Canis lupus familiaris: one gene and its partner. The protein of the gene in region 1 purifies or fractionates together with the protein of each later gene. This does not show direct contact. Links are inferred from orthologs where the notes say so. Each region holds a gene or a part of one and is shown on either strand. Other genes may lie near its edges.

What was found.
Region 2: the proteins of DDX58 (region 1) and SQSTM1 purify together in Homo sapiens (affinity purification with western blotting; 5 studies listed by BioGRID). This does not show direct contact. The link is inferred for Canis lupus familiaris from reciprocal best matches to the Homo sapiens genes RIGI and SQSTM1.

Annotation. Positions count from the first base shown.
Region 1 is NC_049232.1:50,026,120-50,030,637, reverse strand, and holds the start of DDX58 (antiviral innate immune response receptor RIG-I), read left to right. Parts: upstream 1-1,622; 5' UTR 1,623-1,790; coding exon 1,791-1,896; intron 1,897-3,420; coding exon 3,421-3,555; intron 3,556-4,518.
Region 2 is NC_049232.1:2,128,852-2,132,661, forward strand, and holds part of SQSTM1 (sequestosome-1), read right to left. Parts: intron 3,205-3,810; coding exon 3,124-3,204; intron 2,831-3,123; coding exon 2,771-2,830; intron 1-2,770. UniProt on the Homo sapiens protein: Molecular adapter required for selective macroautophagy (aggrephagy) by acting as a bridge between polyubiquitinated proteins and autophagosomes.

The DNA of each region.
Region 1 (4,518 bases):
ACTTTCCCCTTTACTTACTTTCCCCTTTACTTTCCCTTTCCCTTTCCCATTTACTTTCCCTTTCCTTCCCTTTCCCTTTCCCCTCCTCTCCTCTCCTCTCCTCCTCCTTTCTCCTTCTCCTTTGCACTTTGTTTAGTAGAATGCTTTTTCACCCAAATGACCTGCTCTCTCACTTCATTTAGGTCATCCCTCATTAGCTCATCTGATATAAGCAGCCCTCACGACTCTATTCTCTTATCTGGCTTTATTTATTTCTCCTTCTTGAACTTACTCATATATTTTGTCTGTCTGCCACGCTGGACTAGACTAAGCTGTAAACCTGTCTTCTCCATTTTAGTCACGGTGCTACCATTCTTCTAGTTGCTCAAACCAGATGCCTGGAATGTAGCTTTGAGTCCCCTCCCCCTTTCCTTTCCACTGCTGCTCACTCCTATTGCTAAAGTATATCTGAAACATTTCATTTCTTACACTCTCCATGTCTACTGTCCTTATCTGTGATCCCATCATCTCTTGAGTCTCCTCTCATTGATACTTGTTCTGCATAGGAGCCAGGGGGCAAGTCTTTTCTAAAAATGTGATCAAATTACTCCTTAAAGTCCTGCTATGTGTTCCTATTGTACTTTATCCCTTGCCTTACAAGGCCCTGTTTACCAATGCAGCAACACTACATGCCATTTATCCCTTGTTCACCTTTTTTTTTTCTTTGATTCATTTGTGCTCTCTATCCCCCTGCGTAGAATCCCTCTCTTCCTACTCTTTTGGTTAATTCCTCCCCCATTTTTAAGGACTCAGCTGAAATGTGACCTACCCAGAGATATATATGCCTTTACCACTGTATTAAAATAGTTTTTTCCAACCTCCATTATTTTCTGTCTCGGACCCTATTTGATTTCTTTGTATCATTTCATATTTGCTTGAAAGACACTTTTAAGAAAATGAAATGGTAAGTCACAGTCTGGGAGAAGGTATTTGGGTGGGATACATGCATTCGACAATGGGCTCATCTCCAGAATAAATAACTTGTAAATCTATAATATAAAGGAAACACAATCAGGCAAAAAGATGGGAACAAATGCCTCACAAAAGAAGATGAATGGCCAATAAACACATGCAAATATGCTCACGTTAACTGTTCGAGGAGTTAAAGTCAAAACCACATTGATAGACAATGATGGCAAATTGACCAATGTAGATCTACTGGATCTCTTCGTCTACCGCTAGGAATGCAAAACGGTACGTCTGTTTTTGAAAACGGGTGGCAGGTTTCTGTGGAGTTAAACATTCACTTACCATAGGACCTACACGCCCTGGGGGAAGCAGTTACCACCCATATACATTTTTCAAAACTCATGGAATCGTACACTTAAAATTTGCGCATTTTATTGAATCTAAACTTTGCTATAAAAGCAAAATGGGGGGAAAAACCCCAAAATGATAATCAGAAAAGTTCCCGGGGGGTTGTCCTCGGTCCTTCCGGAGGACCCAGAGGGACCCGGTCGCGGGCGCCTCCAGATTGGCAAGCCAGGCACTCGGAGGACGCGAAACGAAAGCTCGGGAAGAGTGCGGTTGGCCCGGGAGGCGGGGCAGCGGCCGCGCACCCCCACACCCCTGGCCCGCGGCCGCCAGTTGCGGTTTCGATTTCCCATCCGCAGTTGGGGTTCCCCGGCGGCGGCCCCGCCTCTCAGCGCTGGGTCTGCGTCCGCTGCCTGAGATCCCTACAAGCCCGGCACAGGCATTTAAGGGAGTGAGCGCGGGCGAGGTGCGGACGTCCCCGGGAGCTGAGCTGCAGAATGACGGCCGAGGAGCGGCGAAACCTGCACGCCTTCCGGGACTATGTCATCAAGACTCTGGACCCTGCCTACATCCTGAGCTACATGGCCCCCTGGTTTAAGGATGGTGAGTGGTCCCCAGGGACGCCTGCCCCTCGGAGCAAGGAAACCACTCAGGACTCTGTTCTCCCCTTTTAATCAACACAAGTAGCATGCTAGGAACGCGGATGTTGAGGCAGGATCCTCAGGATTGTAGCCTGGAGTTCGCCAGGACAGTCTGAGGAGCCTTTAGGGGTCCAGATGGAGAAACAGCCCCAGAGAAGGGAAATGACTTGTGTAGGTGTGCACCTCTATTTAGGTTCAAGAAGGGGGAAACAAACCATTGTCCATTTTACTTTCTCTAATGCTTAATGTCTACCGTGTCTTCAGCTTTGTAGTGACAATAGAGATTCAGGAGTGAGATGTAGGCCCCTCTTTAAAATACTTTGCAGCCCAAGATTTTGTGGGAGTGGAGACTGCTGAGTATGTAAATGATTGCAAAATGCTTCAAGGTAATTGACAGTGACTTTGACAGTGACTCTTGCCGAGTCTTCTCTGCACTTAGGAATTACTGGAAGCTTGCCAGGGGTAAGAGACTCTGGGCTGAATGGCTGCCGGCTTCATTTCAGGTGTTTCTGTCTAGATTTTGGAGACACCTGATGATAGATCTTTGTTAATTTGAATCCAGGTGCACTGCACTGGAGAGGAACAGAGGCTTTGAGGAAAGAGGAAAAAGGAGGTGATGCCTGGAAGGAGCTGAAAGGAGAAAGGGGGATCTGGTCACTCCTTTTCAGGCTCCAAGTGCGGAAATATCAAGTGGCAGGACATGTGAAGGCAACCATTTGGTCATTGCCCCAGACATGGAGTTAGTGTACAAAGTCATGTGACCACCAGCAGTTTGGTGGATAGTTTTCTGTTCCTCGGCCTTGTGTGTGTGTGTGTGTGTGTGTGTGTGTGTGTGTGTGTTTAGCTCCTTTTGCCTTTTCTCCCATATTTCATACTGTCTAAGCAAAAACCTGGAAAGAGGACCATGAAAGTATTTCTAACTCTGCTTTCTGAGTCTGGTGTAATTAAAGATGCCATGGAGTGGTCCCATCTCCTTTATTGTGGGTATACTTTTTCCACACATTGTTAAGAAACTCTCTTTTTAAAGGATTGCCCTAGAATATGTTCCCAGACTTCCCACCAAACTAGAAGAAACTTCTAGAGAGGATGCAGGGTGGAGGGAAGGTAGGTTGATGAAGAATGAGCATCATCTGCCTGAACAGAGACTTTGCTGCCTTCTTGCAGTTCCTTCCATTGCTGGGATTTGTTACAATCGCCATCCCCATTTTTTTTTTTTAAAGATTTTATTTATTCGTGAGAGAGAGAGGTAGAGACATAGGCAGAGGAAGAAGCAGGCTCCTTGCAGGGAGCCGGATGTGGGACTCGATCCCCAGCCCAGATCCTGGGATTGTGCCCTGAGCTGAAGGCAGACATTCAACTACTGAGCCACCCAGGTGTCCCTTGCCATCCCTATTTGAGAAAGTCTGACAACCCTTTTCAGGTTTTTTTTTTTTTTCTTCAGTGATTAGTGGTTCTGCAGTTTGATGAGCCACTCTTCTATTTGTAGATGAGGTGCAGTATATTCAGGCTGAGAAGAACAATAAAGGCACGATGGAGGCTGCCTCACTTTTTCTTAAGTGCCTATTGGAGCTCCAAGAAGAAGGCTGGTTCCGTGGCTTTTTGGATGCCCTTGGTCATGCAGGTTAGTTCATTCTTCTTACTCATAAATCAGGATATTAACTGACTGTTTCAGAATGCGGTAAAAGTGAAATGCTATTAATTTTGAGCTATCCTCATGTGCTTCATGTTGCTTAATCTGAGGCAATGTAAAGATTACTTTCAATCACGATATAATTTGCCTACCTGAAATATCCAAAGGAATCTGCAGATTGTTGGGAGAGTTTAACAAGCTTATTAGATATAAGATTAGTATACAAAAATTAATTGCATTTCTGCACCATACACAAAAACAAACTCAAAATGGATTAAAAACTTAAATGTAAGACCTGAAACCATAAAATTCCTAGAAGAAAACATAGGCAGTGATATCTTTGACATCAGCCATAGAAACATTTTTTTACATTGATCTACTTTAGCAAGAGAAATAAAGCAAAATTAAACTATTGGAACTACATCAAATAAAAAGCTTTTGCACAGCAAAGGAAATCATCAACAAAATAAGACAACCTACTGATTGGGAGAAGATATTTGCAAATGTATCCAATTAGGGGTTAATATCCAAAATATATGAAGAACTTATACAACTCAACACCAAAAAGTCAAACAATCTTTTTTTTTTTTTTTAAAGATTATTTATTTATTTATTCATGAGAGGCACAGAGACAGAGAGAGAGGCAGAGACACAGGCAGAGGGAGAAGTAGGCTCCATGCAGGGAGCCTGATGTGGGACTCAATTCCGGGTCTCCAGAATCAGGCCCTGGACTGAAGGTGGTGCTAAACCACTGGGGCTGCCCCAAAGTCAAACAATCTGATTAAAAAATTGGCAGAATGTTAAGCAACTACAAAATACTAAATAAAAAGTTTGGCAAGCCCCCCCCCCCCCCAAAAAACAAAAGACAGAAGACACGAATAGACATTTTTCCGAAGAAGACCAACAGACACGTGGAAAGATGCTCAGCATCACTAACCATCAGGGAAATGAAAA
Region 2 (3,810 bases), about 48 Mb from region 1:
TGAAGTTTTATCTTATTTTTCTTCTTAATTCCCAGGAAACGTTATTAATCTGTTCTCTATAAATCTGTTATCATTTCTATGATATCCTGTTCTTCTATCAAGGATGGAAGTACTTATTTGGATCTCATGGAGGATGCGGACACTCTCATCCTTCCCCATGTTCCTTCTTGTCCATACGCTGCGATTTTTCCCCAATGGCTGGCAACCACGGCAGTCTGATCCTAGCAAGGCATTATTAAGAGGAGGCTGCCAGGAGGAACCCCCTGAGGGGCCAGGGCCATGATTCGCTTTCCTCTGGAGGGTGATGGGGCACCTGGCCAGGCAGTGGGATCCTGGGTGGCAGAGCTACAGGACATTGCCCCGGCACGCATGGCCTCTCCCGAGCAGGGACACCTCAGCCCCTGCTGGACCGACTGCTCACTCAGGCTGCCGCCTCGCCCTGTGCCCTCCAGCATCTAACCATCAGGTCTCATGCCTGGGATGGCAGGGACCATCATTCGGCTGACCAGCCAGTAATGGCTACAGGATCCTGAAGACTGGTCTTCAAACACCCCCAATTCCCTGGCCTCTGATGCCTCCACACAGTTGCTCACCACCCTCAAAATCCACTGCTTGTCTTTCAAAGTTTAAGGTCATCTTACCTCGTCATCTAGGACTTTCCTTTTTCTTTGTCTGTGTTGCTTTATACTCTTGTGTTTAATCCCTTTATTGTCACTTTGGTAGAGTGAGGAGCAAACAGAGATAAAGACAGGCTTAGTTACCAATACTCCCATCTGCAATATTTAAGTCCTTTTTCTCCTTTTATCCTCTCTCCGACTTTTTTTTTTTTTTAAGATTTATTTATTCGTTTATTTGAAAGAGAGAGAGAGCAAGAGAGAACACAAGTGGAGGGGCAGAGGGAGAAGCAGACGCCCCACTGAGTAGGGAGCCCAATGTGAGGCTCAGTCCCAGGACCCTGAGATCATGACCTGAGCCAAAGACAGACGTTTAAGCCACTCAGATGCCCCCTCCCTCCAACTTTTCATCATGAAAGGGTCAAGCAGGGGCACCTGGATGGCTCAGTAGGTTGAGTTTCCAACCCTTGGTTTCAACTCAGGTTCTAATCTCAAACCCCATGTGTCCAGCTTAGTGCTCAGCTGGGAGTCTGCTTGGGATTCTCTCTCCCTCTGCCCTTCCCCCACACCTGCACACGCACTCTCTCAAGAAATAAACCTTTAAAGAAAAAAGGAAAGGTTCAACCAAACAAAAAAGTTGGAAGAACAGTACAGTGAACACCCATACACCGTCTAACTTTTCTGTGTGAGCAAATGACAGGACCTTTGTAAAGGAATCAGTGACTACAAACCCAAGCCAGAGCAGTCCTGTGACTCCATGGTAGACCCGCTCAGCTGGTTCTTATGGCACCTACCAAACAAGGTCTTGGGGTTTTACTTTGAAACCGCTGAGTCACTGCACACAGTCTGCCCTCTGGGAGGTATTACTGTCTGTCCCTCTGGGCCCCTGCTCTGGGAACAGTCCCTTCTAGGCAGTTAGCAGGATGAGTCATCCTAGCTGTCAGTTCCTTGTAACAAAGGAAAATACCTATAACTCTAGAGTTGAATCAATTCCTCAAGTGGCCCTCCTCAACTGAAACCCTCAAAGGCATACTTACTGAAACTTCCCTTGTTTTTCTGGACAGCTCTAGGCTCCTCCCGAGTTGGTACAAAGTAACTCCATCCACTTTGAAAGACCTGAAAAGGCCTTTACCCTTATCCTACAACACCTGAGCACTGCCAAAATTATTCCCGTAAGTCCTGTGTAGGGAATTTGGGTCAAGCTCTAAAACATGCCCCCAGCGCAGATGGGCCTCAGGATGGACAGCAAGTGCGACCCAAAGTCACTGGCAAGCCTTCAAAACACACAGATCCCAGGCCCAACCCAAGACTAATTTACCAGGATCCAGAATGTTGACCTGGGATTCTGCACAGCTTCCCGTGCCCCTAAATCACAACCCATTAGAGGACCATCTCTCAAAGTTCAACACAGCCTCGTGCTTTCGTCACCACATCTCGAGTGGCAGCCGGGGTTTAGCAATAGGCTTATCTCCCGATTATGACCTAATCACTGCTCCGTTTTTATCCTCCTTAGAAAGCACTAAGAACATCAGCGCTCTTTTCACTTTCTCTAAAGAGCCTTTGACTCCAGTCCCAAAAACAGTATATGGTCTGAGCTATTTCACGGAGCAGCAAGGCCAGGACATCACTGCTGCTTTGAAATTGTGTCCTGGCCTTGAGGAGTGGCAGCTGAAACGGTATCCAGTGGGAGGCAAGAGCAGTCCTGCCTCCCTTCCCATCTGCATCCTTTCAGACAGGCCTTCTAGGCCACCTGAGCGGACACTTCCTGCCACCGCAGTCACAGAGGTGAGCGCTCTTCTAGGCAAAGATCACAGACCTGCTGTAATCCTGCACCAGAGATCACCTTTGTCATGGACTCCCACTGCCACAGGGCCCAGCCCTGCAGCGACCACCGTCAGGGCTGCAGATGCAACAGGTGCCTTCTAAAGCCTTGGGCCAGGCTCACCACTCGGGGGTACCTGCTTTGGTTCACCCACCCAGACACTTCACACCTGAACTGAGGGCCAGGTACCGGGCATCATATAGAACTCCCGCCTCCCTCATGCCCTGCTCCCTAGCATGGGCACAAGCCTGGTACTCGGCAAGCACCAAAAAGGCTGGTACTGCAAAAGACAAAAGGGAGGAAAAGAGAAATGGCCTCTCAACTAATGACTCACCCAAGTCCTTGAGTAAACCCTGGGCTGTTTGTAGGGTGGACGTGAGGAGCAGACTGTCCTCTGTGGGAAGAACAGTCAGAGGCTGACAGGCCAACCCCGTAGCTCAGCCTACTGGGATTATCCCAACCAACCACTCTGATTCCACTTCATTCCATGGGGAAAGCTCAAGAATCTGTCAGGGAATTCAAATGAGTGGCCTGCAGTGCCGCGCTATGGCAAAGGCCTATGTGACGCTACAAGGGCACGGCAGTTAGCATTCCTCTACAGCAACCCAGGGGCCAGCCGCCCAAAGCCACCCATCACCCAGCACTCGGAGTTGCTGCCACTCCCAAAGTACAGAGGCAGCCACTTACCCAAAGGGCTCAGGGCAGCCGCCACACTCTCCCCGACATTCTTGAGGAAATTCACACTGGGATCCTCCGATGGACCAGAAACTTTGGTTTTCAAAGAAACAAAAACATTCAATTCAAAGCAGATTTCTCAAGGACTTGAACACCTGTTACAATCACATCACCTTCATCACAGGGGCCATCCATCCCTGGGACCCTGCCCCTCCATCGCCACCATTCTGGGCTGCTCTGTGACACTGCTGTTCAGAAGCCGGGGGGGATTCACTGCATGGGGTATGAAATATGGACCCCATTCTAGCTCAGATGTCAAATATCAAACAAACAAACCTCCTCACCTTGGTTCCAAAGAACAAGGTAAACCAGAGGAACAGAAAAATAATAAATTTAGAATAAAACCAGAATCTAAAATTCTGAAACACAAGTTATATGTTAAGTGTTTAACTCTGTGAATACGCTTAAAAATATTTCAGCAGGATGCCCTGCTGGCTCAATCAGTAGAACATACAATGCTTGATCTCAGGGTCGTGGGTTCAAGCTCCCAGCTAGATATAAAGCTTACTTAAAAAAAATAAATAAATAAAAAGGCTTGACAAGATGGGGTGTGGTTTAGGACTGGGCCGAGTCTAAATCTAGTGTAGGTGAATCAGTGGCCATGGGCCATCAGGAGCCTCCATGTCCTGTGTGCAAAAT